3 linked regions of the Ovis aries genome follow. The protein of the gene in region 1 purifies or fractionates together with the protein of each later gene. This does not show direct contact. Links are inferred from orthologs where the notes say so. Each region holds a gene or a part of one and is shown on either strand. Other genes may lie near its edges.

Region 1 (9,238 bases):
GGCTGCACGCAGAAAGGGTTTGCATAACACACACAGCTTCGCCAACAGCCAGCTCCAAGAAAGTGACATGATGGAGCTGTTCCCTAACTCCCAGTAACAAGATGATTTTCCAGAGCTGGAAACACACTGCATGATCCTGGAGAAGTTAACTGCACCAGACAAAGAGAAACTTGGAGGACAAACACCTCAGAACACAGGAAATGAAACTACTTTGATAAAACAGGAGTACATTCGAGAAATCTCAATTTCACAAACAGAAATACCAGTATAAGTAAATGAATGAATGAATGAAAAAAAAGCAACTTTGCTCCCCATTCTCATATGGTCTTGTCTGGCTTTGCTTTACAAACTCACGTTAAAACATTTAGTCTTAAAAGTCATACAGAAGCCACAGTACCCCCAAGTTCACTAGCATTTATAAGAAAACCAGAGCACATAGGAATCAACCCAAGCCTTCCTGACACACTGCTTTATGGAATTTCTTAATCTAGAAATACAAGTACAGGCTTCTAAAGAGCACTCCCCTACCACACTCCCAAGTTATGCTCCCCAGAGGCAAGTGTTTTCAACTTCTTTAAAAGCTGCTTCTAGAGCATTTACCTCCATATTTCTAAACAATATATTTATGGTGATATTTCTTGTCTGGCGCTTGAGATGTGACTTCTTGACTTCCTAACTTCCTATTCTAGTAGATCACGATTCAGCCCTACACGACCCCTGCCCTGTCTTCAGAGAAGTAGATCATTTCATCTTTTGGATTCTGGCTGTAACACTGGGCTCCGGTCATTCTTAGCCTCTCCAGTGTCAGGGAGAAGATACCCCTGTTGAGAACCAGCACTGCAAACTGGGGGTGTTCCTAAAGGTGAACTTGTCCCGGGCCACGAGGGGTCTGTCCTGGATCCTCGGGTGGAGAGGAGTTTTCTCAGCTGGACAGGCTCCTCCCAAGCCCTGCAGGCGGCCTCAAGAAGTTATCCGTACATCTTTCCACTATAGGTTAAACTGTCCTTAAGAAATATTTAACCTATTCTTCAAAGCCACCATGATTCCAAGGTCTCCCAACCATCATTCATACTTATTAACCTAAACCCCAAATCCATCTTGTTGAAAAGCAGCTCCGTAAGAAACAAAAGCCAAGAGTTCCTTCTCTTACTGAGTCTGTGCTAATAAGATAACAGCAGCTGACATTATTCACCCATAAGCTATTATCACTGAGCACTGTGCTAAGTATGTTATATCGGCTATCTACTTAATTTCTTGTAACATCTCATTAGGCAAATACTATTATTCTTTTTTTATGGAAGCAGAAACTGAGGCTCTAAGAGGTTAAGGAACCTTTCCAACTTTACATGGTTGGCTGGTGAAGATGAGACTGACTCTAGAGCTCAGGGAAGTGACTGCAGTAATAAACTGAGGATCTGCAGCCAGTTGCCTATCTGGTTAAGGAGCAGAGTTAATGAGGCCAAGGCTAGGGAGTCAGTCCCTGTAGAGTCACAGAATGTTCCTCCAGCTGTGTCCAACAAGCTCATCAATGCATGCCAAGAGCTCAGAGTTGCCCCCAGAGGTGTTCAAGGTTAAGATTTATAAAAACCAGAGTGCCGGGGACAGGAGGTTTACTTCGGGGGCTCCTCTACCTTATTAACCCGTTGACCTCATCGACAATGTGACGCAGCTTATAGTAAGCATCCGTGGGTGGCAGCTTCAGCTCCAGGATCAGCCGGTCAATCTTGTTGATGCACACGGTGACTGCCAGCCTCTCCTGCACCGCGTGCTTGATCAGCCGCTCTGTGTTCAGCATCACCTGAGACACAGAAGCTGGGGATGAGTGCAAAGAGGGCAGAACAGGCCCGCACAGAGTCAAAGAAAGTTCTAGTTTAAAATATGAAAAAAATAAAAATAAAAATAAAATATGAAGGATGTGGAAGAGAGGAAACAGATTATGAGGGGGAAGCAGAGGGTATCTTATTCTACAGCAGAGTCGGAAATTTTAAGAGGTGACCTGGTAGGGTTGAGAAATGAATAAATCCACTGATGATTTTGGGGAGCCAAGTTTCTCAGTGCCAGAGAAGGAACCGAGAAAGGCTTAGGAAGCTGTGGTGCGGAAACAGAATTGTGGGTATCAGGGAAATTCCCTGATGGTTCAGTGGTTGGGACTCGGTGCTTTCACTTAGTGGGCCCAGGTTCAATCACTGGTCCGGGAATTAAGAACTAAGATCCTACAAGCCTCGAGGTTCAAACAAAACAAACAAAAAAGAATTGTGGGTATTAAGATACATTGATTTTTTCTTTTACTACATTAATGTTATTTATTTATTTATTTATTTATTTTTTTTTTTGGTTTATAAAAATAACTTTATTTCAGGGTGTCAAGTTTAAATAACTGTGTATTATGATGGTCAGCTACATATAAGATACATATTCTTTCAAGTTTAAAGTACCTCTCCTAAAAATTAGGCCAATGGTTGATTCCTTATTTTAGTTCAACTGGAATAAAACCTAACAGGAGTATTTTCCGGTAAAATACAAAAACTATTAGTCACTCAGTCATGTCCAACTCTTTGTGACCCCATGAACTGCAGACCTCCAGGCTCCTCTCTGTTCATGGGATTCTCTAGGCAAGAATACTGGAGTGGGTTGCCATTCCCTTCTCCAGGGTAATGTTTTTTAATATGTATGTATAGAAACAGTTATGTATGGGTGTATATTATCTGTGTTCAGTGAGAAATTTTAGAAGTAATGTACCCCAGTAGCCATGAACATACTCTGGAAGACAACTGACAAAATCAACGGCCTATATTCTCCAAAAATGCCAATGTCATAAAAGACCAAGAAAGCTAAAAGAACCATTCCTATTGGGATTTCCCTGGTGGTCCAGTGGCTAAGACTCTGAGCTCCCAGTGCAGGGACCCGGGTTCAATTCCTGGTCAGGGAACTAGATCCCACATGCCACAGTGAAGATTGAAGATCCTGTGTGCCATAACCCAGAAGAAGCCAAATAAATAAACAAATAATAAAATAAAATTAAAAAAAAAAAAAAAAGAACCGTTCCTATTAAAGACACATGAAAATTCAATGTTATGCATCATCCTGGATTAGGAAAAAAAATTCTATAAAGGACATTTATTGGGACTGACTAAGGTCTACAGGAAAATTTCTGTACAACAATTGTATCAATGTTAAGTTCCCTGATTTTGTTAAGCCTATTATGGTTACATAAGTGATGTCCTTGTTCTTAGGAAATATATTCTGAAATATTTCCTTTTCATATGGTACGAAGGGGAAACACATACACATGTGAGTGCGTACGTACATGTACAGAGAGAGAATTACAAATGAGGGCGAGTTGCTCTGTGTTACTGCAACTTTTCAGCAAGTTTGAAATTATTCCAAAACAAAGTCAATTTTAAAAAAGGGCAACTCTGGCTCCCTCTGCTGGCTATCTCACTGATGACAACGTGAATGAGGTTAAGTCAAATGACCACATCTTTCTATTTAGAAATATAAAAGACACCCTAGATCTTTTAACTTCAAACTCTTTAGCTTAGACAAACTCTTAACATTTCAAACTCTCCTCCCTCTCTTATTTACCTTTGCATTTCTGTGATCATTTTGTGCCTCACTGGGTAGGGAGTGAGGGTCTCATGAGAACTAATTTTGACTTTCATTTGCTGCCTTCATTTTTACAGCAAACGTGAACCTTAATCCCACAGACTCTCACGTTCTCTAGCTCCCAGCTCACTCAGAGCTCTGGGCATCATGCGGGGCAAACGTAACAGGGAGGAGGGGTCTAAGAGAACAGAAGCGGACTCACGCCCTCAGCAGCATCAATGAAAAGGACCACTCCATCTGAGATGCGCAAGCCCGCTGTGACCTCATCAGAAAAATTCACGTGTCCTGGAAAACAAATACCAAGTATGTCACAATTTGTGTGGTGGCAGGATGAGGCACAAATAACTTGTACATGGTTGGCGGCGGGGTGGGGTTTCAAAGCACACAAACCCACGAATATTCTCTTTCCCTTCTCCCCACAGCTCCCTGCAGGGTATAAAATTCCACATGAGAGTCACTAAAAGCTTGGATTAAGTTTTTATCCAGGAGACCCTCAAACACAAAAGAAGCGTTTCACCAAGGAGGGCATAAGGCATTCATACTCAGACTATACCAGTCTCAGCAGTGAGTAGAGTTCTGTGAGACAGAAGACAACTTGGAGGCAGGAAAAAGGGCAAAGGAGGGCCTGCAGCACAGCAGCGGGCTGCTGGGTGCAGGCTGGGAGTCAGAGGCTGAGGGGTATGAGGGCAACGGGCATCTGATGGGGCAAAGAAGGCCAATCTGTCAAAACCCAAATTTTCCTATTTAAAAAAGGAAAAGCCTTGGACTTCCCTGGTGGTCCAGTGGTTAAGACTCTACCTTCTAATGCAGGGAGTGTGGGTTCAATCCCTGGTAGGGGAACTAAGGTCCTACATGCTGTGGACAAAAATTAAAAAACAAAAACCAAACAGGAAAACCCTGAGCTGGGCCTTTCCAAAGAGAAAGTCAACCACAGGGCAACGTATGGTAACCTGCAAGTCGCCCAGCCATTGGTGTGTGCTCCCCCAGTCTCTTTCAAAAGATTGAAAGACTGAGACGGCCTGAGCCCAGGACCATGTGTGACTCAGCTTTGCTGCCCCAATGAATACAGGACTATAAGATTCCCCCAAATTTAAATCTTGTAAAGCAGAGTCAACAGAGGAACAAAACAGAAGGTCTAGAGCAGAGTGCTTGCTAATTAACTCATTAGATGCAAAAGAGACAGTTAAAAAAAGAAGATTATCTCAACAAAGGCGAGGAAATGTGAAAACAAAGATGCAACGCTCTGTTCTGGGAAGTGTGGGACCAGGAGAAACAAGCTGGGCAAGGTTCTGAAGGTAAAAGGTCAGGGATATCCTACCTGGAGTGTCCATGATGTTGAAGAGGTAGGATTTCCCCTTGGTATCTGGCAAGACCACTGTCACAGGAGTGCTTTTGATGCCAACACCCCTCTGAAAGGCACAGAGAAAGAGGGCAAGAGTGATCAAGGCCTCTTCCTATGCCAGAGGGCTTCATGATGCTCCTGGGTCTTTCCAGTTGCTAGTAAATTATCCTGATGTCTTTCCTTGCAATGGGTGTGATGACCTTAAAGATGAACTATCTGGGTGTTACACAGCTTTGGGGGAGGGGCAGCGGGCGGGGAGGAGTTGGTTCAAATACAAAAAGCTAAAAATAAATGAACAAGCTAGCAAAGCAGTAAATAAGTGTTAGTCTGCCGGGAGCCAGCCTGAGGAATCCCACCCGTGACAAGGTCATGTGGCAGAGACCTCATGTGCAAGGTCGAGTCAGATCTCAGGTTTTCCCCCTGGTATTTCCTGAGCATGTACCCCAAAAAATAAGAATATGCCTGCCTTATTGTACTATACTTTTCCACTCTCCTGACACACTCTGGGAAAAGTCACCTCAAGGCTTTTAGTCTTCTGCATTTGAAAGGGTGTTTCAATTCAAAAACCCCCTCTGATGGCTTTTTAGCCTGCCTGCAGGACTCGTACATCTGCACATGAGATTGTTTGAGGCCTCCTGACTGCGGGAGGCACAGGAAGCTTAAAACATCCTAGGAATATAGGGGCTTCCGAGGAGTCAAAATCATTAGAATAGGACTGATGAAAGGTTTCATTTATTGAGCCAATACTTGCTGCCAAATTTTTATATCTTTTATTTTTAGATATAGTTGGTATATAGAAAAACAGGTAGTAGACCTGGTATTAGCAACATTAGGTCTTTGAGTTAAGTACTTTCTTTGTTATAACCCACTGCACCTTTGTTCTACAGGAACATAACTTTATTTAGTACTTTGAGGGTGATGCAAAGTAAAGAAAAAACACTTCTAGGGAAAAGGAGTTTTCTGGTTGATAGACAATTATCCAGGAAGAGAGCCATAAAAATGTTAACAAGCCTCTTGGCCAGAAGATAATGTAAACCACCTGAGACCTTTTGTATGGGGGGGGGTGTATGCAAAAAGAAAGCCTTGTCTCAATGAGGGTCAGGACTGCTGCCCCTGCATAACTCTGTATATTCCATTATGTACAACTTGGGGTATATAAGCTGATTTTGAAAAATAGTTTTTGGAGTCTTGCACTGATGCTGGGCATGTCATTCTTTTCTCCCTTTTTCGGCTGAATTTCCATCTGGGGCGTGGAGGCTCACCATGTTTACTTACTTGTCCCGGCTTCTAAGATCCATGAGAGAGAGAGCCCAAGGCGGGGCACTCTCTGATATCCAAACAGACGCCGGTGGCCTAACATAGACAGTGCAAGTTCCTTGTCTGGAACTTGATTGGCTTTCCAAGTAAACCAACTTATTCAGCCTCTTTTCTCCACCTAAATTCCCTACTATACTATTTCTTCCTAATCTAACCTTATATCTCTAAATAAATAAGTTTTTCTCGCCTATCCGTCTCCCCTTCGAATTTCCCTGGATCCACCGGGGCTGGACCCCGGCATTAGTCGCTCAGTTGTTTCTGACTGCCACTCCATAGACTATAGCCCGCCAGGCTCCTCTGTCCATGGGATTCTCCAGGCCAAGAATACTGGAGTGAGCAGCCATTCCCTTCTCCAGGGGATCTTCTGACCCAGGGTCTTCTGCATTGTAGGCAGATTCTTTATTGTCTGAGCCACCAGGGAAGTCCAGCAAAACAGTATTAAACTTTAGGAGAGAATCTAGAGGCCTAAAATCTTACCCTCCTCATACAGTGTAAACAAAAATAATTAAGCACCATATAAGTGAAAAGAAACAATCTGGGGTATTTTAGGTTTTTAAATATATACATATATGAGAAAAGGAAATAGTAACCCACTCCAGTATTCTTGCCTGGAAAATCCCATGGACAGAAGGGGCTGGTGGGCTACAGTCCGTAGGGTCGCAAAGAGTTGGACACAACTGAGTGACTAAACCAAACCATCTATGTATATAATATATATATAATAAAAGCTGTAACAGAAAGTACTAAAACAACTTCAGTCACACAAATATATAAATATATTCATATACATAAAAACAACAGCTAATATCTGTTGAGTGTTTAACATATGCCAGGACTGTTTAAAGCTCCTTTGGCTAATCATACTTATACTCACTGTGCTTTCCATGTGGTCATTTAACAGAGATAGAAATAAGAGACAGGGAAACAAAAGGGGTTGGAGTGGATGGACAAAGATCCAGGTGCAAAGAAAGCCCAACCAGGTGGAATGGCAAAGACCAAGATGTATATTCACTCCTTTAATCAGAAAAAAAAGCACAAAGACAGACGAACTCATTCACCAAGAGAAGCTACTCCCAGAGATCAACATATGGACGGAGTCATCTTACAGCAGATTTTTAAGGATGATGTCATTTGAAACATCCTGTTTAGCTTCTGTAAAACTTACAGCATAAATGTTCTCAACACCTCCTGGCACTTGCCCTATTAAGCTAAATTATATCCAGCCAAGCATACGAAGCTCCCCCTTGTACCGGACAGTTTGCCTACCCAGCTCTCTTTCAAGTTACTGACCTTGGGATGACTAGGAGAAGCAGGGAGATAAAGAGGTGAGGGATGGGAGTGAGAGAGGGGGCAGTGGTATGGACCAAACCGTTATCATAAAGGCTCCTCTACACTCGCTACAGAACTACTACTGCTGTGAACAACAATCAGATTTCCAAAGGCACACTTACCTCTTGTTCTGTGAAGAGGATGTCAGTGTAGCACAGCTAAAAATAAAAATAATAAAGAACTGTGGTTACCATCTGAATTCAGACTCCTCTCCCACACAAACCATCAATCACTTTCCCTCACCACCTCCCTGGCTCCAGAGTCTCTCCCTCAGGAGAAGAGATGGAAGACAACAGGGTGTCCCTACAGACATTTTAGACAATGAGACTGGCGCCCTGCCAGATAGAAAATGCTCCTTCCTGGATGTGTGTTTTCTTGGGGAGTGGGGAAAGTCACTAAAGACCAGGTATGGCTGGAGAGCTAAATTATATCAAATGCACTGAATTCTTCGCAGTGGTACATGGAGACATAGCTGGCCTTCGTGGACCCTGCACGTCAAAACAGTCAATCTGGTGGAGACTGAACATTTATTGCACTGAGACTTGCAGCCACACTTGGCCTTATTCACAGGCATTTGAATTTATCATGAAAGCAACAAGGTCCAATTGTATTATATTTATAGAGTAGGCTATTAATACTATGACAGGAAAGAATAGGCCACAAAAGTCAGGATATATCAGAACAGAGGAGCGATCCCAAGTGAAGAACAGATCACCCCAAAATACTGCAGGTTAACATTCTCTCTGTTCCTGAGAAAGCTGAAATCATTTTAAAGGCTATTCATAGAAATTACAATTATAAAGCAGCACATTATAAGGCACACAATCCTAAGGCATCATTATTTATAATGAGTGGCAAGGGAAGGAAGGGGAAGGAGAGAGACACCCACCCCTGTATATTCTGAATGGTTCATCCTAAACCCTGAACAGGATTTCTACTTACATCTTGGTCATAGCGCTTTCTGATTTCCGGGTGAGTCTGCTCTATTAAACAATCTACAAAACATGTCTGAAAGAGAAGAGAAAGTTATGCTCTACCACCCACCAGGGAAAATCTATTCTACCCTTCCCCAGTACACCGTATAGTTTAGGAATAAAGAGAGGAAGAGGAGAGCAGGGAGGATTATGGCACAGCAAAGGATCAACAATAAAGCCACAGGATTATTTTCAAATGAAAGATGAAATCTTTCTTAGACAAGCTTCCCCCAGGAAATAAAAACTTATAAAATCAAAATCAAAGTAAGGCTCAACTTCCCCTCTTCTGTCCAGATGTAGACACGAGGCTCAGGCATGCCAGTGGCTTAGCTTTCCATCTGCTGCTCAGAAAAAGCTGGAATTTCACAGCTCAGTTTCACAATAGGCATGGAGGCCCCCAGAGTCAGGAGGTCCAGCCTTCAGGCCTCAGACCCCAACATGTGACTCCGAGGGCTAAAAAAAAATGAGCAGAAATGAACAGCAACCCTGTTCCAAGTAGTCAAAAGCTCACTTGCCTTGCCATGGTGCAGATGGCCACAGAGAGTCACATTTCTGATGAGCTCCGAGTTATCCATCAGATCTGCCAAGAAACTGTAAGGACAAAGGGAAAGAGAAAAGGGAGCTTTGGCAAGTTCTCAAATGGGCGAGTGGCACAGAGGTGTGTTAGGTA
Region 2 (9,897 bases), on another chromosome or scaffold:
CAAACAGAAATTAATACTATCCAAAAAGACTAGATTTGGGGATCAACTTCATATTAAGTTTTCAGTCAAAATCAATCAGTAATTGAAAGTTGATATTGATATAACTTTAAAATAATCTTGTCTAATAACTTGCCATTTACATACAAATTTAGCTGTGACTTACAGCAAAACATGTAATCACATCATTTTCATCAAACTTCTCTCCATAATCTTCAGTCTCACAGTTGCATGTTTTTATTCCTTTTAGAGAATATCCATAAGAAAATTCTTCTTCGCCTAAGAAAATAATTAACTTTCATTAAATCAACTCTCCAGAATAAACCGACCCATTATTTTTTCAAGATGTAGGGTTTAAGAGTATACTATACTGACTTTATACTAGATATAAAAAGCTAGGTGGTTATTTAACTAGTTGACAAACTGCATGACATGACAACATTCTATTTGAACCATCAGCCACAAACCAATTAACTATAAAGAAAGAAAAGCCAAAATTTAGCCTATGCTCATGTTACTATCATCTCTAAAAAACAGGCAAAAAGTTTAGAATGCCTGCTAACTACTGAAATCAAACACTAAACACTCATGAGTACCAAGATACTCAAATGGAAACTTTACCGAGCAACATTCCACTTGTGGTTAGTGACCACCCAATCCGAACTTCATGTATGTCAATATCTTTCGTATATAAATGCCTCACTGGGATCTTCTCTGTAACCTGAAAGTCAAAGATAAACAAACTGTGAACCAAGGAAAATAAACCACTTAATCAACCCTAGTTTATTTCATTTGGGCAATGGGCTAATTCTTCTTCAGCTACTAAGTACAGAGACACACCAACTTTACGCTCCCCCAAACATTTTTAAGAAATTCAAAAATTAAGGGCTTATAACTTGAAGCTGAAAATTTACTTGGTTGAGTCACATTTAAAAGAAAATGTTGAAATTATATATTCTCAATGCTTCAAAACCAACTAAACTTTATTCTTTAACATGTTTTCCTCAGAACAAAAACTGGAGCCTAACCAAATTTTTTCAAACCTTTGGTGGGCCTTTCAACTGCCTGATAAAAAAATGAACACCCTAAATAAAAATTATGCTGGCTCTATCTACATGGCAACTTCTAATATAACAAACATCTTCAACTACTATAAAACACAGGGTTAGTCCCTCTTGTAACCCACAGAAACTTGAAAAAAATAGAAGTTCCACTGATATCTGATAACAGGCAAAAACCTCACGAAGCTTAAGAAAAAAAGAACATCACAAAACTACTTTTACCTTCATCTCAAAACAGACTTTGCCTTTTGACACACCATAAGATGCCCTTCCTCCAGCCCAAAGAAAAGCAAAACTCTCCATGGTAAGGGAAGAAGCACTGAGGCGATCTCTTGATATTTTAAAATGTAGATCACAATTATCTGCAATTATATCAAATGCCATATTATTTCTTTTGATATCCACTATAAACATCTGCCATGTAGACAAAGCTGTTATTAAATTTTCACATATTTCTGAATGCTGCATACTACATTTTTACAGATGCTGTTCTAATTTTCAGTTTAAACCCCACTCCCACCAAGTCATTCTTGCCAAATCATGAACTGAAGCGTACACTACCTATGCAGCTAACAAATATAAAGGTTTAGCATATGCGTACTTTAAGTATATAAAATAATCAAGACAATGTGACATTTATACATACCTGCTCTGCTCTTTACCTTGATTTAGAGGCAAGCAGTAGAGGATAGCAGGAAATCAAAGTGAAGCATGCCAGACCAGGTAGAATTTACCAGTGCCACAATAAAACTGAAGGGAGGCCATGACCAAGTATTTTAAAGTAAAGAGTATGAGCTGTTGATCCTCACTTTACAGGGGTTCTAGATCTTAAACTCTTTGCTAAAACTTGTTAAGAAGGCAATCTCAGTCTATACAATACAAACCTGGTCATCAATGCTGTTACTACTACAGCATTTTAGGTCCCCTTTCCCCAGATATGCCTGTTAATAAGTATGGGGGATTACACACTTTGGAGTAATCCAAATCCAAAACGACTTTAACCTAGCTACCTTTGGGTCACTGGCTCATTAGCATGCACCTTCTGAGTTCTCAGTGGAAGCAACACTAAATTAAGAAAGCTAGTTTCCTAAGTTTTACTGGAGAGATGAAATTAAACCTACAGTCTGGAATTCCTTACATAAGCTTTGCTCTTTACATTTCTGATACAATGTTCAACAAATTATACTTGAACCCAATAATGCACTTAAACTGGTATCCCTTGATGAGCTAAAAAGCCTTTTATAACAGCATTATCTTCCTAAACCACTGCTTCATAGCTCGCCAACTATAAGCAACTAAACATAAAACATTCAACTACTCTTCCATATACAGTTCAAAATAAAAGATTCCACTACATTGACTATATGTAAACAGTATGTAGTAAAGAGACTTACATTTACACTACCATACACATCTAAATAAAATAGGTATTCCAAAACAGGAGAATCTAAGATTCAACTCCTTAGATCTACAGGACAGGATGACACCTTACCTCTAGGCAATTATTTCTACCCTTTTTTCTGTTTATCACAAAATTGTACTTTCTGATCAAAATACTAAATCAATGATTTTGTATGTGAGAAAAATGAGGAATCTGACTGCCAAGGCCCATTTAGAGGTTTGCAATACTTCCTCATACTCAATTGCAACCCAACTGGGTAAAGTAGCAGTATTTACAGCGCTGCCATTGATACCATTCGCTGCTGAAGAAAGCTAGTGGCCCAGTGATAGCCCACTGCTGCTGCCCCAGGTCTTTGGAAGAAACCAACTTAGGTTAAAGCAGCAGCTACTGAACTGGAATTGAGAACAAAAGAGCAGTTATTGAGAAAGTAATATTACAATCTTTCAGAATAGGGAATATAGTGATGTGCTAATGGGAAAGTCATTAATAAATACTTAACTAGCCCAAGTAGCTCACTTAACATAATTCCACAAAAAAAAAAAAAAAAACCACATTACTTTTACTGTAGACCCTACAGGGAGAAATTATAGGTAGTCTTACAAGTTTCCATTAGCTACACAGTCAAATATTGGCATTCATTTCACATTCCTACAAATGAGAATTTTAATATCATACCAAAAAATTATCAAATTGCTGGAGCCTCTAAAACTATCAATATAACTGCTGGACTAAATTAAGTGACCAGAATCTGAATAAAAGCCACCATCTTTCCAATTTTAAAAGAACCCTTTATACGCATTAAGTTTTCTAACATTTTGTAACCAAAAACCATATTTGATAACTAAGGGAGGAACGGGGAAGAAACAGCTTCACTTACAAGTATCAAGACAAACCACTGTGTCGTCGAAGTGTTCATCTTCTTCTTCAACAGGTGGCTGAGGAGATTTGGCTCTGAAAAGACAGAATTGTCTCCTGATACAACCTTCCCCAAAGAATAATGAACAGGTGCCAAAACTAGGTTAGCATCTCTACCTGCTATACTTGTTCTCTTCAATGTACTCAAAATAGCCACGGCCATGATCTTCTCGAGGTCTTTTAACACCTCTCTTTTTATCTCCGCCTTTCTGTTCTGTTTTGCCGTCTCCTACAACACATGACACCGCTGTATAAGACACCACGGCACGCCGCCACAACAAGCAGAAAACCCCTTTCTTGTCGGAGGTTCCCTAAAACTCGACTTGTACATTGTGATTTCAATCAACGACTCAACTGCGAATTCAAACAACAATCTCCTTGGAATCGGCTTGGATTCAGTGACGCAGTCTAAGGACATTGCTAATTTTGCCAGTTCACTCGAATATTCCAGAAAGCACATGAAAATTTAGCGCGGCCCAGGCCCGGAGCCCACGTGTACCCCAGAGAGTGTTCAGGAAAGGGGGAGGGGCCGAAGCGCCCCGCTCGCCCTCCCCTCCCCCCAGCCGGGCCCGCGCTCCCCGCGGCCGCATTGTACTGCTCGCCGCGGGCGCCGCCCGACCCCGCCCCGCCCGCCGGAAGTGACGTCACCCGAGCCCGGCGCGCCTTGCACAATACCGCGGCCCGGAGCCGCCACGGCGCGCCGCCGGGGCCCCGGGCCTCCCCTCCCCCCGAGACATGTGCCCGCACCGCGCGCACGCAGCGCGACGGCGCCTCCGCGGCTCCTCCCCCTCCAGCGGCAGCTGCAGCCTCCCCCCTCCCCACCCCGGCTCTCCAGGCACATAATGGAGGCGCCGCCACCGCCGTCACACACCGAGCCGAGGCCTCACGCCTAACCCGGGATTCCCCGCGCCCCGCCCGCCCCCCTCCAGCAGTCCCCAGCCCCCGAGGGTGCTCCCTCCCGCGGCGGGTTTCCTCCCTCCCCCCCTGCGGGGCTCCGGCAGGCCTGGGCACGGTCCCCACCCCGCGCGGGCCTCCCGCCGCGCGCAACCAACCACGCAGCACTCACCCGCCGCCGGAGCCCCGGGGCGACCGCCGCCTCCGCCGCCTTCCGCCTTCTTCTTACCTCCCGCCTGCTGCTGGCCCTGCCTCGCCCCGGGCGGCGCCACCGTCACCGCGAACAGCGACGTGGGGCCGCTGCTCTTCCCCGCGGCCTCCTTGGCGGCCCCGCGCTGCTGCTGGGGTTGTTGCTGCGGCGCCGCCGGCGGTTGAGGCTGCTGCTCCCCGTGCCCGTTCTCGTCGCCCGCGCCTTCCTCCTCTTCGCCGAGCTCATCCTCCCCTTCCTGGAAGCCCTGGTCGTCGCCGTTCTCGTCCTCCGAGGCGGCCTCTTCCTCCTCCATCGGGCCCGAGTCGGCCGCCCCCGCGGCGCCGTTCTCCTCGCCGAGCTCCATCTGGTCGCCATCCAAGGCGGCGATCCCTTCCTCCTCCTCCTCCTCTTCCTCCTCGTCGTCGTCGCCGCCGGCCGCGGCCTCCTGCTCGAGGCCTGCTCCCGAGCGCCCGGCGGAATCCCCGCCCAGGTCTAGGCTGCCGTTCCCGGGCTCCATGGCGGGGCGGCCCCCGGCCTCCTCGTCGTCCAGCGCGGCCTGGAGACGCTCCATGAGCTCGGCCTTGAGGCCCTTGTCGGACAGGCGCCGCTTCTTGAGCTCCTCCTTCAGCTCCGACACCTTCAGCTTTTTCACATTAACAGGCGAGGAACTCATGGTGAGGCCCCGATTCACCGCTAGGCGCTGGCTCAAACTCGGCTCCGCTCACTCGGCCACTGGCGGCGGCTGCGGCTGCTCCTCGGCCCGGGCGGCGGCTGCGGCTGCGGCTGGAGGTGGGTTCGTGCTGCAGAGCGGATCCGCCTGGTGTCGAACGGCGCCAATTCCTTTCACCGAGTTCGCGAGGGAGACGCGGAGACTCGCCTGGCGCGAGCGAGCACGCAACGTCCTCTCGCAGGGGCGGCACCGCGCACGTAATATAGCCGCCCCGCCTCTGCGCCGGCAGAGCGCCCGCGCTCGCCCCACCCCGCCCCGCCCGAGCGGCGGGCCGGGAGCGCGGCGCCGCGCACTGCGCTTCCAATTGGGGCCCAGCTAATGGAGGAGGTGGAAACCGCCTTCAGTTAAACCGACCCGCTGCAGCCTCTATTGGCCTTTCCAGCCCTTTGGTGGCAATATTCGTTTATGTTCTTTGCCTTCCGGCCAGGAGGCTGCTTCTACCCAAATGCTTTCATCTTCAACTTGGTAATTTCAGCTGGAATCCGCCACCTCTTCTTCCATTTTAGATTTATCTTATCTGTTTCTCCAGCTATTTGCTTAGAACCCTTAAAATTTTGATTTGATTTGTACAAGCTGACAGTCATTATACGCAGGAGATTTTCTTCTGCTTAATAATTGGTTTAATTTTCCTGAATCCTAACTTGGGAGTTGAATTTTAGACTCAGGAAGGGCCTTTCTTTTGTCTCTCCCATGACCTCTGATGCAGGGTTTGGGAGATCATGCTTATTTTTGAAGAGTGGCCTCCACTCCATACTGCAAAGCGGACTTTACAGGCCTTGTTATGGTACTAATGGCCAAAGAAGTTAGCCTCAGAATTGCATTTCTGTGTTTTCTTTACATCTACCAAGAAGACAGACCTCCTGTAAGGTTTATTCTGTCCAATTTAGGACCTGGTCATGCAGTTATGAAGTCCCCTTAACTAACAATGAGGATAAGACCCCAGCTAGGTCACACACTTTGATTCTATTCCTGTGGATATACTTTTGACAAAATTATGCCAAAGCTCTAATAAAAGCTAATGAAAAAAAAAAAGGCTGTGATTTTGTGAAAAGAAAAATATCACTCTCAAAGAAAAATGTGATTTTGGTGTGTCTTAGAAGTTTAATTTTTCCTTTTACTAAATTAAGAGGTGTGTTAATGTTCTTCCAGTTTTCCAGAATTTAGATATGTGATAGACATGAATGTCTCAAACCCCAGAGAATCTGCACAGTGGCTAGCCAGTGGTCTAGTCTAGTCTAAGCTCAACTATATTGCTTCGTGCTTTAGCTGGCACAAGGCTGTCCCAATTTTAATTCAAAATTTAGAAAAATACACACTTAACTTTCTCCCATAGTACAGTTTAATAAATTTTATTTTTTAAGTTCTCTTCAATGGCTTTTAAGAATCTTGTATTTTACAGTGCTGTCATAGATGAAGATGAAATATTAACATTTGTGAAATGATTTGAGTTGAAATTAATGGATTATGTATAGTACTAGTAATTCTCAGTTCAAGCTGATGGAGGCAGAGGGATAGCACCCAAAATAGGAACTTCCAAACCCTGCCAAAAACTCATTTTAGCCTTTGGTTATAATATCCTTAGAGCTTACAAACAAGTAGCAAACTGAAATTTGAACTTTTCAAGTTCGTTGCCCTTGTTCAAAATGGGAAAAGAATTGCAGGGGGTCTTCCATGTTCACAAAATAAGTAATTAGTCCCCTAATGAATCAGAATTAAATATAGTAATTATGGTGATCATTTAAGTTTATGTGTCCTTAGATATGACTTCATATTTAAATGTTAGAGACATGAAAGCAATTTCTGTTTACCGGGGAAAACTAAATTGTGAAAATAAAGTTTATATACCTAAATATCAATTTATAACAATTATTCTTGGTATGTTAAATCAATTGTAAAAATAAACATGAAATATAACTTTAGATACTCCTTGGAAGAAGAGTTATGACCAACTTAGACAGCTTATTAAAAAGCAGAGACATTACTTTGCCAACAAAGGTCCGTCTAGTCAAGGCTATGGTTTTTCCAGTAGTCATGTATGGATGTGAGAGTTGGATTATAAAGAAAGCTGACCACAGAAGAATTGATGCGTTTGAACTGTGATGTTGGAGAAGACTCTTGAGAGTCCCATGGACTGCCAGGAGATCCAACCAGTCCATCCTAAAGGAGATCAGTCCTGAATATTCATTGGAAGGAGTAATGTTGAAGCTGAAACTCCAATACTTTGGCCACCTGATGTGAAGAGCTGACTCATTTGAAAAGACCCTGATGCTGGGAAGGATTGAAGGCAGGAGGAGAAGGGGATGATAGAGGATGAGATGGCTGGATGGCATCACTGACTCAATCAACTTGAGTTTGGGTAAACTCTGGGAATTGGTGATGGACAGGGAGGCCTGGCGTGTGCAGTCCATGGGGTCACACACAGTCGGACACGACTGAATGACTAAACTGAACTGAATAACTTTAGATGGGCATGAGAAAATGTCATGGCTTTGTTATGGCTTTGTCAAGAGCTTTGTATCACAAAGATCATCCTCAGTCTGCTCATTACATGGCCCAAGAACCCAGGTCCTCCTCCCACCCCAGGCTTCTTTCATTACCCTGGGCTTTCCGAGACAACGTTCAACAGAAAAACCTTTTATAAATGCTCAAAAAGAACCAGTCAGCCAATGCAGCAGACAGGGGTTCAGTCCCTGGGTTGGGAAGATCCCCTGGAGAAGGAAATGGCAACCCACTCCAGTGTTCTTGCCTGGGAAATCCCATAGACAGAGGGGCTTGGGAGCTACAGTAGACGGGGTCGCAAAGAATCAGACACGAGTTATCAACTAGACAACAACAACAAATGCTCAAAGAGCCATCATCTTGCTGTTTGTCCTTTTTACAAGCAATATTTTATTTTACCACTTGAAAATACAAATAGTGACTTCACTTTCCTAATAGTTTTTCTTCTTATATTTTTAATGCTGTCATGATAGTTCTGTTCTACAGAGACCAGTTAAAGTACAGATCACTTTCTCTCAATTGCTGAGGGATCTATCAAAAATTTGATATTCCCCCTTTTTGAAATCCTGGAGCCCACCAAGAATACAGAGTGGAAGAGGGGGAAAATTAATTTCAACAATAAACAAACAAAATAATTAGTGAATTGCCCATAGGTAATAGATCTACGACAGGGCATTACAGAGTTAGGGTGCTCAGAATATGTAGCTTACATTTTGAAGTTGAAACAGAGGCACATACCTGGATATACTTTGTCATTAAGTTCACTCAGCAAATATTTTTTAGCACCTTCTCTTAAGCACTAGGAATACAGCAGTGAACTATGTAATTATGCCTTCATTCTCTTAGGGATGATTAGCCAATAAGTTAAAATAGAGAAAGTAACAAGTATGGCAGGGAAATGTAAAACAGGACAGGGGCAAGGTATGCTGGGGTTGGGGGAGTTTTTCAGTTATAAATGGGGTAGTCTGGGGAGCCTAAGAAGTAAGGTAACATTTGAGTAAATATCTCAAAGAGGTGGAGGGAACAGTAAGTAGTCCTGAGGGGGAAGATAGGCAGGGAGTTGAGGGGAGGTGCAGATTGCCAGCAGCCTTGTCAGTGGTTTTGTAAGGACTTTGGCTTCTGCCTCCAGTGAGAAGGAAGATACTGAAGGGTTGTTACTAGTGAAGAGATAAGAACTGGCAGGAATGCTAGATTCAGTGGACTCAAGATGCTATTTCATGTACGTCTTTTTTTTTTTTTTTTTGTATAGAAAATCAATGCCAATTTAATAAAAGAAGCAAGAAACACACTGTGATACATTTTTCAATCTTCTTACAAAAATGTGAGAAGTTACAAGTACCTACAAATTACTAAGAATTAGTACACTTTCATATAGACTAACAGAAATGCACAGTAGGAAGGGAGGATGTTTCAAATTCTGGGTAAAAATACAAACATAAATATCAGACAGACATGGGCTGCGGTCCCAGTTAGATAGCATATTGGCTGAAAAAACTCTGATGCTGGGAGGGATTAGGGGCAGGAGGAGAAGGGAACGACTGAGGATGAGATGGCTGGATGGCATCATGGACTCCGATGGATGTGAGTCTGAGTGAACTCCGGGAGATGGTGATGGACAGGGAGGCCTGGCGTGCTGCGATTCATGGGGTCGCAAAGAGTCGGACATGACTGAGCGACTGAACTGAACTGAACTGATCTTGCACAAGCTATGTATCTCTCTGTGCCTGAGAGTATTTACATCTAAAATGATACCTGCCTCGTGAGGTTGTTGGGAAAATGCACTGAGATAGTCTAAACTCTGAGGACAGGACTGGAAGCACAGGAAGAGCTCAGCATAGGTTAGTCTTCATTAGCTACTTTGAGCAATTTAATGAGCTTAAGAAAATCTGGAGTTGAATTGCTAAATCTTATTTAGGAAATTATACATATTGTGTAAATTGTCAATGAATTGTTCATAGTGAAATGAAGTCTGGATAGGAGGGTGCAGGCTTCACTTCTGGGCATGGTACTGTCACTGTAACCAGCTGGGGGACCTTTGGCAAATTGCACCATCTCTCTGGATGTTTGTTTCCTCATCTATAAATGAAGCAGAGCAGACTGGAAGATTCGTAGAGTCCCTCTAGGGAGAAACTTCTGTGAGTCTCCTGTTTGCTGACTCCACACTGTCCATGGAGGAGCACTATTAAACTTTGAAATATTGATTATTCAT
Region 3 (9,961 bases), on another chromosome or scaffold:
CAAGGTAGAGCCAAAAGGATTTGCCAGTGGATTAGATGTGGAGTGGTGTGTGTGAGAGAGAGAGTAGATAAGGAAGACTCTTAAGGTTCTTGGTCTTAGAAACTAGCATGAATGTAGTTACAATATACTGATATGGGTGGTTGGGGAAAAGTAACCTTGAGGGGTGTATCAGGAACTCATTTTGTGAATGTGAAGTTTGAAATACTCACTGGACATCCAGGTGAGATGCCAGGTAAGCTGGATATACAATATACACAACATCCAGGGAGAGGTTTTTTTTTTGGTCATGCTATTTGGCATGTAGAATCTTAGTTCTCCAACCAGGGATCAAAGCTGTGCCCCCTGCACTAGGAGTGTGAAGTCTTAACCACTGGACCACCAGAGAAGTCTGGGAGAGATTTAAACTGGAGATAAATTGGAAGTTGAGAGATGTCAGCCTCTAGATGGGACCAGATCTCACCCATGGGACTAGATGAGGTCATCAAAGTAGGAAGTGTAGCTATGAAAGGAGGGTGTTCAGAGACTGAGCGTACAGCGCTAACATTTCATGAATAGGAAGATGGGAAAGGACCTGTAAAGGAAACTGGAAAAAGCTAGAAGGAAAACCAGGAGAGTGTTTCCTGGAAGGAAAGTGAAGTTTCAGGATCAGCTGCTGCTGATGGATCGAGTCAAGTCAAATCTGTAAACTGACCTCTGGATTTAGCAATGTGGAGGTCATTGGTGACCTTGATAAAAGCGGTTTTGTGTGGAGCAAGGACTAAAGCCCAAATGGAGGATCGGAGGAAAGAAACTGAGGATAGCAAATCTGTACTCTGGGTGGGTTTGCCTGAACAGGCAGGAAAGAAATGGTGTGATATTCAGAGGGGAAATTTGGGTAGATAGACTTTTTTATTTTTTATAAGCTAGAGGAAATGACATGTTGGTATGCTGCCAGCATCTGTAGTTAGAGAAAAATGGATGATACCCAAGTGATGGGAAGGTTGCTGGAGGATGGCCTGTGTAGGCAAGAAGGGATGGGACCCATTGGAAAGGCTGTGGTTGGTCAGATTCACAAATAGTTCACTCATAGCAGCGGGAGGAGGCAGAGGCACAGAATCAGGCAGGTGGGTGAAAGTAGCATGAGAGCTTGTGGAAGTTACATATTTAATGCATATTAGGTGAAATAACTAGTATATCAAACCTGTCATTTCATGGATGTTATTACAAAGTAGAGAAATAACAGTGGGGCGGTGTGCAGATAAAGCACAAATGAAGGTCACACTTCAGTGACTGAATTTTGAGAAACACTGTTGTAAGCTGTGGTCAGGAGTGTGTGACTGGAGGCAGGGAGAAGATCTGGGAGGTTATGAACATTTCCCTGGTTAAGAGATGAAGGGCTGAGCTGCTCAGTAACTGTGGAGGTAGAGAGGCCGCCTCACTCAGTCATGTCCAACTCTGCAACCCGTGGACTGTAGCCCACCAAGCTCCTCTGTCCATGGGATTCTCCAGGCAAGAATACTGGAGTGGGTTGCCATTTCCTTCTCCAGGGGATCTTCCTGACCCAGGGATCGAACCCAGGTCTCCCACATTGCAGGCAGACCCTTTAACCTCTGCGCCACCAGGGAAGCTGGAGAGAAGGCCTAGACACGAATGAAATTCAGAATTTAGTGTTGATATGATGTGATGACCAGCCGTGGGGAGGGGTGGCAGGCCCTCTGCTTTCTAATGGGGGGCTGAGGGGTTGGAGTTCCCTCATACAGCTATGGAGCACCCTCAAGCAAAAGGGACAGATCTGGGGCAGAGCATGTATTCTTCTGGATGCAGAGATAAGAGGAAAATCTGAGGCCCAGCTGGCTTCCCAGGACTCCGAAAGAACCAAGGCCCTGGCCTGGGGGGAAACTGATGAAATCCAGTCAGATAAGGCAGGCTCTGCCCTGGGAGAGCACCTGCTGGGAGGTTAAAGCACGCAGACAGTGCCAGAGGAGGGCCGATGCTGCAGAGGAGAGCTTCCTGGAAAAGGTGACCTTGAGGGTTTAGGGATGGTGGCAGATGGAGAGCAGAGCCTGTGGGGAATGGGTAGGGAGCACGTGGGTGTGCAGCAAGGGTGGAAGGCTGGAGCCTGGGAGAAAGCCTCCATGATGATCTGAGACTTTGGCTTAAGCTCAGGAGGTAGGAAGGTAGCTACATCAGGTGTGTGCTGGTAAAGCTCCGGGGTTGCTCCTGCACAAGCTCTGGGGGAGTCTGGGGTGGGGTTGGGGTCGGGGTTTGTTCAGGGGCAGGGAGTCCCAAGTACTATGATTGCCCTTATGGTCTTTCCCGTGCCCACAGGCAGCAGGACCTGTATCGAATCCTGAAGGCCTACACCATCTACCGGCCCGACGAGGGCTACTGCCAGGCCCAGGCCCCCGTGGCCGCGGTGTTGCTCATGCACATGCCTGCTGAGGTCAGCAGACGCCGGACCTAGTCAGGGAGGGGCTGGGCCTGCAGGGGTGACGGGGGAGCTCCCTGCCCCCTGTTCCTCTGGCCCCACCCCTCCCTCCTTGTTCTTGTCTTTCTCAGCAAGCCTTCTGGTGCCTGGTGCAGATCTGCGACAAGTATCTCCCTGGTTACTACAGCGCAGGGCTGGTGAGTGTGTGGAGGCTGGTGCGCCTGGGGCTACGGCTTGTCCCTAGGACTTCGGGGCGGGCTGAGCCTCACCCTGTGCCGTTCTGGCTGGCTGCTCTGGGCCCTCCCACTGAGCTGAGGCTCCCGCCTCACGGATGGGATCCGACTGCCAGCGCCAGTCCCACCCCAGGGGGCCCACAGCCAGGGCGCCTCTCATGGTTCATCCCATCTCCAGGAGGCCATTCAGCTGGACGGAGAGATCTTCTTTGCCCTGTTGCGCCGGGCCTCCCCACTGGCACATCGGCACCTGCGACGGCAGCGCATTGATCCCGTGCTCTACATGACAGAGTGGTTCATGTGCATCTTCGCCCGCACCCTGCCCTGGGCTTCAGTGCTCCGGGTCTGGGATATGTTCTTCTGTGAAGGTACTTCTGTAGCCACGTAGGCCAGTAGTGGGACTGGGGTTTCCATGGTGGCTGAGATCCATCTCGGGAGAAACTGAGACTTGATCTTACTGGCTCTGCCACCAGCCACAGCTTGCTTTGCCTCCCAGGAACCTAAAACCCATGGTGGCTCATTTTCTTCTCAAGGCCTCCATTTCCTCATCTGTCGGGTCAACAATACACAGGGATGGGGGCTGTGAGTACCCCCTGCACGGGCCAGGCTGAGACCCCCCAGGCTGATCACCCATGGCCTCTTCTCTTCGGGCCTGCAGGCGTCAAGATCATCTTCCGGGTGGCCCTGGTGCTGCTGCGGCACACGCTGGGCTCGGTGGAAAAGCTGCGCTCCTGCCAAGGCATGTATGAGACCATGGAGCAGCTGCGGAACTTGCCTCAGCAGTGCATGCAGGAGGACTTCCTGGTGCACGAGGTAGGTCCTGGCCTTAGCGTACCTCACACCCGCTTCAGTAGATCCCCACCCCACTTCACCCTGGTACCCATGTCTTCTCCATCTAGGTGACCAACCTCCAAGTGACAGAAGCACTGATTGAGCGAGAGAACGCAGCCCAGCTCAAGAAGTGGCTGGAAACCCGGGGCGAGCTGCAGTATCGGCCCTCACGGAGACTACACGGTTCCCGGGCCATCCACGAGGAGCGCCGGCGGCAGCTGCCCCCCCTGGGCCCCTCCTCCAGCCTCCTCAGCCTCCCTGGCCTCAAGAGCCGGGGCTCCCGGGCAGGTGGAGGGGTCCCCTCCCCACCCCCTCCCGTCCGCAGGGCCAGCGCGGGGCCTGCCCCAGGGCCCGTGGTCACCGCCGAGGGACTGCGTCCATCCCTTCCTTCGCCTACTGGCAACAGCGCCCCTCTGGCCCCTAGCGGCAAGGAGGCCCGGAGGCAGGAGAAGGAGCGGCAGAAACAGGAAAAGGAACGCGAGAAGGAGCGGCAGAAACAGGAAAAAGAACGGGAGAAGCAGGAGAAGGAGCGGCAGAAGCAGGAGAAGGAGCAGCAGAAACAGGAGAAGGAGCGGCAGAAGCAGGAGAAGAAGGCCCAGGGCAGGAAGCTCTCACTCCATCGAAAGGCAGATGGACCGCCTGCCCCCCAGGACGGCGGGGACAGGTCCTCAGCATCAGAGGCCCGGCAGGATGCGTACTTCTGACCTCTGCCCTGGGGCTGGACTACGTGGCCCCCTCTTTTCCCTCAGCCAAGAGCAGACCTAGCCTGGGGTCCTGCTCCCAGCCCGCCCTTGGCAGGCTGTCCCTCTTTTTGAGGAAAGTGGCTTGTTCCCCGTCTCCGTGCCAGCCGCTGATCCCCACGTGGCCAGGACAGTCAGAACGGGGGGCAGCTGCATTTCCCTGGGGAAGCAGTGGACACCTCACCTCCAGCTCGGCCCAACTGGGGTCCCTTCCCAGGTGCCACTCTCCTGATTGGCCTTTGGTCACCGCAGGGGTGACCTGTGGCAGTGGGAGTCAGCAGTTTTCAGATTCTTACACTCCAGTCACTCCCCTTACCCGTGAAGTGAAGCTGGGTTCCTTTACCCCCTTCAGTCCTGCCTGTCTTCCCCCAGTTCCTGGTTGGGGGCCCAGGCTCTTCTTGCTCTCCTTCTGGACATCTCTGTGTTGTAATTATGTACAGAGGACCTGGTGGGCCCCGGGTGGGGGTGTTCACTCCATCTTCTGTTCTCTGGTTCTCCCTCCTCAGTGTTCTTGCACTCTAGTTTATTTAAGGGGACACGCACTGGAACAGGAAATGTCTCCCACCTCCCACCACCACCCTCCTTGCTCTCCTTCCTCTTCACCCACCTTTCTCTGTATTCTCAGGCCTCCCCTGCTTTATCTGACCAGGGCCCCTGCCTTTCACTTTGTCCCTTCCAACCCTCCAGCCCCTTCCTGGGTAAGGGTCTTCCCCTGAGCCCCAGGGGGTGGAACCCAATGTTTACATGTTCTTCTGTCTCTGCCCCCACCCTGTTCGGCCGCTTTGAGGAACCGGAAAAGAACCTGCTGTTGTACCTGGGCCTGTCTTTTGCCTTGTTATTTGATGAGTGGGGTTAAAGTAAGGACAAGGAGGGAGGGAGTGATGAGTTAGCAAGGATCTGGGTGTCTCTGGAAGCTGTTGACTGGACTTGGCAGATACCTTTGGGTCTTTAGTCTATTAGTCACTCATCAACACAGTTGTTGCGTTCCTGCTTCACCTCCACCTGCTGGGGATCTGCTGCCTCCGTTGTCACTGGCCTCCTGGAACTGTCTGTGGACAGCCTGCAGCATCCGGATCTCCTTTCCAAAGTGCTCGTGCAACTCCTGGAAGCTGAAGAGGGTCCTGGGGGTGGCTGGGGAGCCACAGTCCTCTGGGGGTGAGCCGGGCTCTTGGCCAGCTGCCTGGCACAGCTCCCGGTACTGGGCCTCCAGGGGGCGTAGCAGCTCAGCCAGCCGCGTCCAGGTGGCTCCGGCCAACGCCCACAGCCAGGCTCTCAGCTCCTCCCGGTTTTCTGCTGCCAGCCTGTAGGCCCGCCCACCATCTCCCCCTGGAGTCCGAATGGTAAAGGCATAAGGTTCTGTGGCTCCAAGGCGTGGCTCCACCTGGCAGTTCTCTAATAGGATGAGACCCAGGGGTGTGTGGTCAGCCTGGTGTTCCAGGTAGAAGAGGAGGTTTCCTCGCAGGATGAACCAGCGGCGCTGATAACTGGTATTTCGGGCCCCCTTCTTTAGCAGGATGCCCTCCCGGTCTGGAGCCTGTGTTCTGTACCCACGGAAGAAACGGAGCACGGACTTTCGGTGCAGTTTCATGGTAGCCCACTGTGGGAAGAAACCCTAGGAGTGGAGAAAGGAGGAGTGGGGCATTTGGTGATCCGGAGTACCCCAGCACTGCCCTCCTCTGGTTCCAGCAGGCTCTTTCTGGGCACTGTCTTGGTCTTGGTCTAGAGGGATTCAAACTTGAGTTTTCAAGAAGGACCTTCCACCCACCTCCCAACCTCAGCTCTGCCCCTTGGGCCAAATTACAAAACCTGGGCAGGACTGTAGTGCTGGGGTCCTGTTTGGGGGTGGGGTTGGCGGATATCCACTACGGCCCTTTCCCAGGCCTACCTGAGATGAGGGCACAAGGGACTTCAGGCCTCGGTACTGGGAACAGGTGCCACTGCCACCTCTCCTATTTGACTCTTCCCACCTCAGAAACCAGGAACTTGGCCAGGGGATAGGAGGCGGCTGATTTTAGACTTCCCCTGGGTCCTAAAAGGAGCTGGGTTCGGAAAGTCCCAGGAGAACCTCTGGGACAACAGCAAGGCTACACCTCGGACTAGCAAAGGGCGGACAACTGGACGCCAAGAGTAGGAAGGCAGGATTTCTAATGAGATGATGAAGGGCGCAGAACCAGCCGTGGGGAAAAGGAGACAACCCGGGAAAGAGAAAACTAGGGCAGGAACCCACCGGCCCTGCTGGGACTTTGTTCCTCCATCGTGAACCTGGGCGCCCCTTTCTCCTCAGAGCCTCTAGTGTTGTAGGAGGAAACCGAGATCACTTCCGGCCATCCTCGTCCGATCAGGGTCTAGGCGTTCAAATGTCCCCTCTTCTCACCATAGTCACCCCACACGGCTCGCGTCACTTCTGGGAGGGGGCGTCTCTCCCCGCGCGGCGCGTACTTCCGCCCGCTCCTTCAGTTGTTCATCTAACCCGAGTGAAGCCACTTCCGGCTTTCCCCGCCGCCTTCCGCAGTTCTCTTCCGGGTGGTGGCGGGCGGGTGGCCCGGATGTAGCCCTGGTGAAACCCTCTCTCCCTTTCTTCCCCCACCTTTCCTGGATCCTTAGGTGAGCGCGTGCCGGCGGGACTGCTGGTGTCCCCGTGGCCCTGCCGCCTTTCTAATTTGTACACAGCCCAAGACAGTTGGGAGTCACCCCGCGGAGTTGGGAGTTCGGCGCAGGGAGGAGCGGGGCTGCCAGGGCGCTAGGTCCTGGGTCTGCCGGGGCCCCTCGGGTTCCGAGGAAGCTGGGGGTGGTGGAGCGGGTGTTTACCCGCGAAGCACATCGCGCCCAGCACTGCTGGGGCCTGGAATAAGGGTGGTCACGTGGGGGAGCCCGTCTCCTCTTGTCAAGGGTGGGGGTGCCCGTAGGAGCTCCTCCGCCCGTCCGCTCTTGCGTCTCCGCACCAGCGGCTCTTTTAGATGCTAAGCCAAGTCCCGGGAGGGGCGGGGGGAGGGGCGGGTTCTGGACTACCAGCTCGCCTTTCGGCTCCTGATTCTGTACTCCCTTCCCAAAGTGGATCTAGTACCCGCCAAGTAAAAGATCTGTTGTGCAGGGGGCCCCCTCGCGGGGAGTTGCCTCCTCACCCAGTTCCCTTAATCTGCACCCTTTCCCTCTGCTCAGTTTGGAAAAGCCCTTCTGTCCAGTCATGCCAAAGAGGAAAGTGACCTTCCAAGGCGTGGGAGATGATGACGAGGATGAAATCAGTGTCCCCAAGAAAAAGGTGAGGGGGGCCAGACTCCTCTGTTCTGTGGCGGTGTGAAGGGAGAAAAAAAATAAATTAGAAGCCAGATGAGAGATCTGGAGGGACAAAGAAAGGATGGAAAGGGTCAGCTTTTCCGCGTATTTCTGAGATGTGGTTTTGCAAGATTTTCAGTTTGAGTGTAGATCCTAGAGTATTTGGGGTCATAGCCAGTAACTTGCTTCTTTCTTAACTTCTGTCTCCTGCCCACAGTTGGTGGACCCTGTAGCTGGGGTAGGGGGTCCCGGGAGCCGCTTCAAAGGCAAACACTCTTTGGACAGCGATGAGGAGGAGGAGGAGGAGGAGGAAGGGTCCAGCAAATATGACATCTTGGCCTCAGAGGATGTGGAAGGTGAGCTGTACCAAGAATTGACTTTTTGCTGGGGGAACAAATAGGGACCTCTGGGACCGTGGAGGACGGGAGGCTCCTGTCTCTTGCATGCCTAGCATGGGATTCTTGTGTCTGTCTGGGTACAGGTCAGGAAGCAGCCACGCTCCCCAGTGAGGGAGGTGTGCGGATCACACCCTTCAACTTGCAGGAAGAGATGGAGGAAGGCCACTTTGATGCAGACGGCAACTATTTCCTGAACCGGGATGCTCAAATCCGAGACAGCTGGCTGGATAACATTGATTGGGTGAGGCCCGGAGATTAGCATGGCTGGGCTTGGGCCTTGCTGGCAGTTTGTCAGAAATAAAACCTTCCTGTTTTCCCATTACAGGTAAAGATCAGGGAGCGGCCACCTGATCAGCGGCCGCCATCAGACTCAGAGGAGGAGGACAGCCTGGGCCAGACACCAATGAGCACCCAAGCCCTCCTGGAGGGCCTTCTGGAACTGATGTTGCCAAGAGAGACAGTGGCTGGGGCACTGAGGCGTCTGGGAGCCCGAGGGGGAAGCAAAGAAGGCAGCAAGGGGCCCGGGCGGCCCAGTTCCCCCCAGCGCCTCGACCGGCTCTCCGGCTTGGCTGACCAGATGGTGGCCCAGGGCAACCTGGGAGTGTATCAGGAGACAAGGGAACGGTTGGCCATGCGACTGAAGGGGTTGGCGTGCCAGACCCAGGGACCCCGTGACCCCACACCGCCCCCCTCCCTGGACATGTTTGCTGAGGAAGTGACAGAGAGGGAGCTGGAGACCCCAACCCCTGCCCAGAGGGAAGGTAAGGTTGAAGGGCAGAGGAGGGGGGTTGTGGGCAGGGGGCAGGCCACTGGAGGCCCAAATGACTTGGCCTATTATTTTAGAAGCAGAGTCACCTGGAGATGGTCTTGCGGACGTGATGTGGGAATATAAGTGGGAGAACACAGGGGATGCTGAGCTGTACGGGCCCTTCACCAGCACCCAGATGCAGGTAAGCTTCTCTCTACTTTGCTGTGCCTCTTCTTTCCCTCCCCCCACCCCATCAGTCCTCTCCTAGCTCTGCCCTCTCTTCCTGCAGACCTGGGTGAACGAAGGCTACTTCCCAGATGGCGTTTATTGCCGGAAGCTGGACCCCCCGGGTGGCCAGTTCTACAACTCCAAACGGATTGACTTTGACCTCTACACCTGAGCCTCCTGAGGGCCCAGTTTGGTGGTCCCTTCTTTGCTGGACTCTGTGGAGGAGGCCCTGGCTGCCTCAGGCAGTGAAAATGTTGGGGGCCACTTTTCAGTCAACTTCCTTTTCCCAATAAAAGCCTTTAGTTGTGTATTAGGGGCCTTGGCTGTGCTGATGGCCAGAAGGTGGAGCTGGGAACCTCTTCCAGGTCCCTTTGGACTTGTTCTTGCCCTTAGCGTTTCCTCTTGTGAATTTCCTCCTTGGGAGTTTCTCTCTGGTCCCTCGAACCACCTCACCTTTGTTTCCCGTTCCTTGGGGCAGGGCCGGGCCTGTGAGGTGTCCTGTGGCCTCCCAATCCGGAGTTTGTTCTCAGCTGAAATATCTCTCCACTCACATGCTGTTCTCCAGAATCCCCTGAAGGTTCCCATTTTGCTGTTCTTAGGTCTTTGGCTTCAAGGACCTAAGATGTTCTGCCTTGTAACCAATATAGGATAGAGCCCCAGAAGTGGAATCTTGAGGCTTGGATGGGCTGAGACATCTGTTGGGAGTGAGCAGAAAGGCTGATGCTTACTGGCTCGCTCTCTGCTGTCTCAGACTTCTTAGAAGCAGATAGAAATGGTCTCTGAGGTAAAGTCTAAACTCAATGTTGGCACCTAAAGGACTTTCAAGGCCACCTGGGCCAGTCTGCACAGGCCCAGAGATGGGCAATGTCTCGCTGGAGGTTACACAGTGAATCACAGGACCGTCCCCGACCCAGTGGACTCTCTTCGAAGGCCTTTCTTGGCACCAGGCCTTTTCTGGCTGGCCTTGGAGTCTGTGCAGCTTACATTTCCTGGGCTCCTACAATATATTTGACTCAGTTTAGTTCCGTTAGGAAACTGCAAGAACTGGGCTGGTCCTTTCCATTCAGAGTGCGTCTGGGGAGGATTGGGAGGAAGACCGATAG

The links.
Region 2: the proteins of EFTUD2 (region 1) and HNRNPU fractionate together in Homo sapiens (co-fractionation; 3 studies listed by BioGRID, with this or other methods). This does not show direct contact. The link is inferred for Ovis aries from reciprocal best matches to the Homo sapiens genes EFTUD2 and HNRNPU.
Region 3: the proteins of EFTUD2 (region 1) and CD2BP2 purify together in Homo sapiens (affinity purification with mass spectrometry; 7 studies listed by BioGRID and IntAct, counting the BioPlex papers as one, with this or other methods). This does not show direct contact. The link is inferred for Ovis aries from reciprocal best matches to the Homo sapiens genes EFTUD2 and CD2BP2.

Annotation. Positions count from the first base shown.
Region 1 is NC_056064.1:44,321,652-44,330,889, forward strand, and holds part of EFTUD2 (116 kDa U5 small nuclear ribonucleoprotein component), read right to left. Parts: intron 9,160-9,238; coding exon 9,084-9,159; intron 8,603-9,083; coding exon 8,537-8,602; intron 7,753-8,536; coding exon 7,717-7,752; intron 5,016-7,716; coding exon 4,925-5,015; intron 3,892-4,924; coding exon 3,809-3,891; intron 1,799-3,808; coding exon 1,632-1,798; intron 1-1,631. UniProt on the Homo sapiens protein: Required for pre-mRNA splicing as component of the spliceosome, including pre-catalytic, catalytic and post-catalytic spliceosomal complexes. Component of the U5 snRNP and the U4/U6-U5 tri-snRNP complex, a building block of the spliceosome.
Region 2 is NC_056065.1:31,683,678-31,693,574, reverse strand, and holds the start of HNRNPU (heterogeneous nuclear ribonucleoprotein U), read right to left. Parts: upstream 5,367-9,897; 5' UTR 5,133-5,366; coding exon 4,442-5,132; intron 3,605-4,441; coding exon 3,493-3,604; intron 3,412-3,492; coding exon 3,338-3,411; intron 1,421-3,337; coding exon 1,281-1,420; intron 719-1,280; coding exon 619-718; intron 277-618; coding exon 164-276; intron 1-163. UniProt on the Homo sapiens protein: DNA- and RNA-binding protein involved in several cellular processes such as nuclear chromatin organization, telomere-length regulation, transcription, mRNA alternative splicing and stability, Xist-mediated transcriptional silencing and mitotic cell progression.
Region 3 is NC_056077.1:27,060,352-27,070,312, reverse strand, and holds CD2BP2 (CD2 antigen cytoplasmic tail-binding protein 2), read left to right. Parts: upstream 1-4,595; 5' UTR 4,596-5,178; coding exon of another isoform or gene 5,179-5,799; exon of another isoform or gene 5,800-5,823; intron 5,824-6,096; exon of another isoform or gene 6,097-6,181; intron 6,182-6,746; exon of another isoform or gene 6,747-6,815; intron 6,816-7,370; 5' UTR 7,371-7,395; coding exon 7,396-7,470; intron 7,471-7,701; coding exon 7,702-7,840; intron 7,841-7,965; coding exon 7,966-8,123; intron 8,124-8,207; coding exon 8,208-8,643; intron 8,644-8,725; coding exon 8,726-8,832; intron 8,833-8,919; coding exon 8,920-9,030; 3' UTR 9,031-9,168; downstream 9,169-9,961. Other genes in the region: TBC1D10B (TBC1 domain family member 10B), read left to right, coding at 2,308-2,422, 2,539-2,604, 2,819-3,008, 3,299-3,453, 3,540-4,175; sesquipedalian-1-like, read right to left, coding at 5,179-5,799. UniProt on the Homo sapiens protein: Involved in pre-mRNA splicing as component of the U5 snRNP complex that is involved in spliceosome assembly.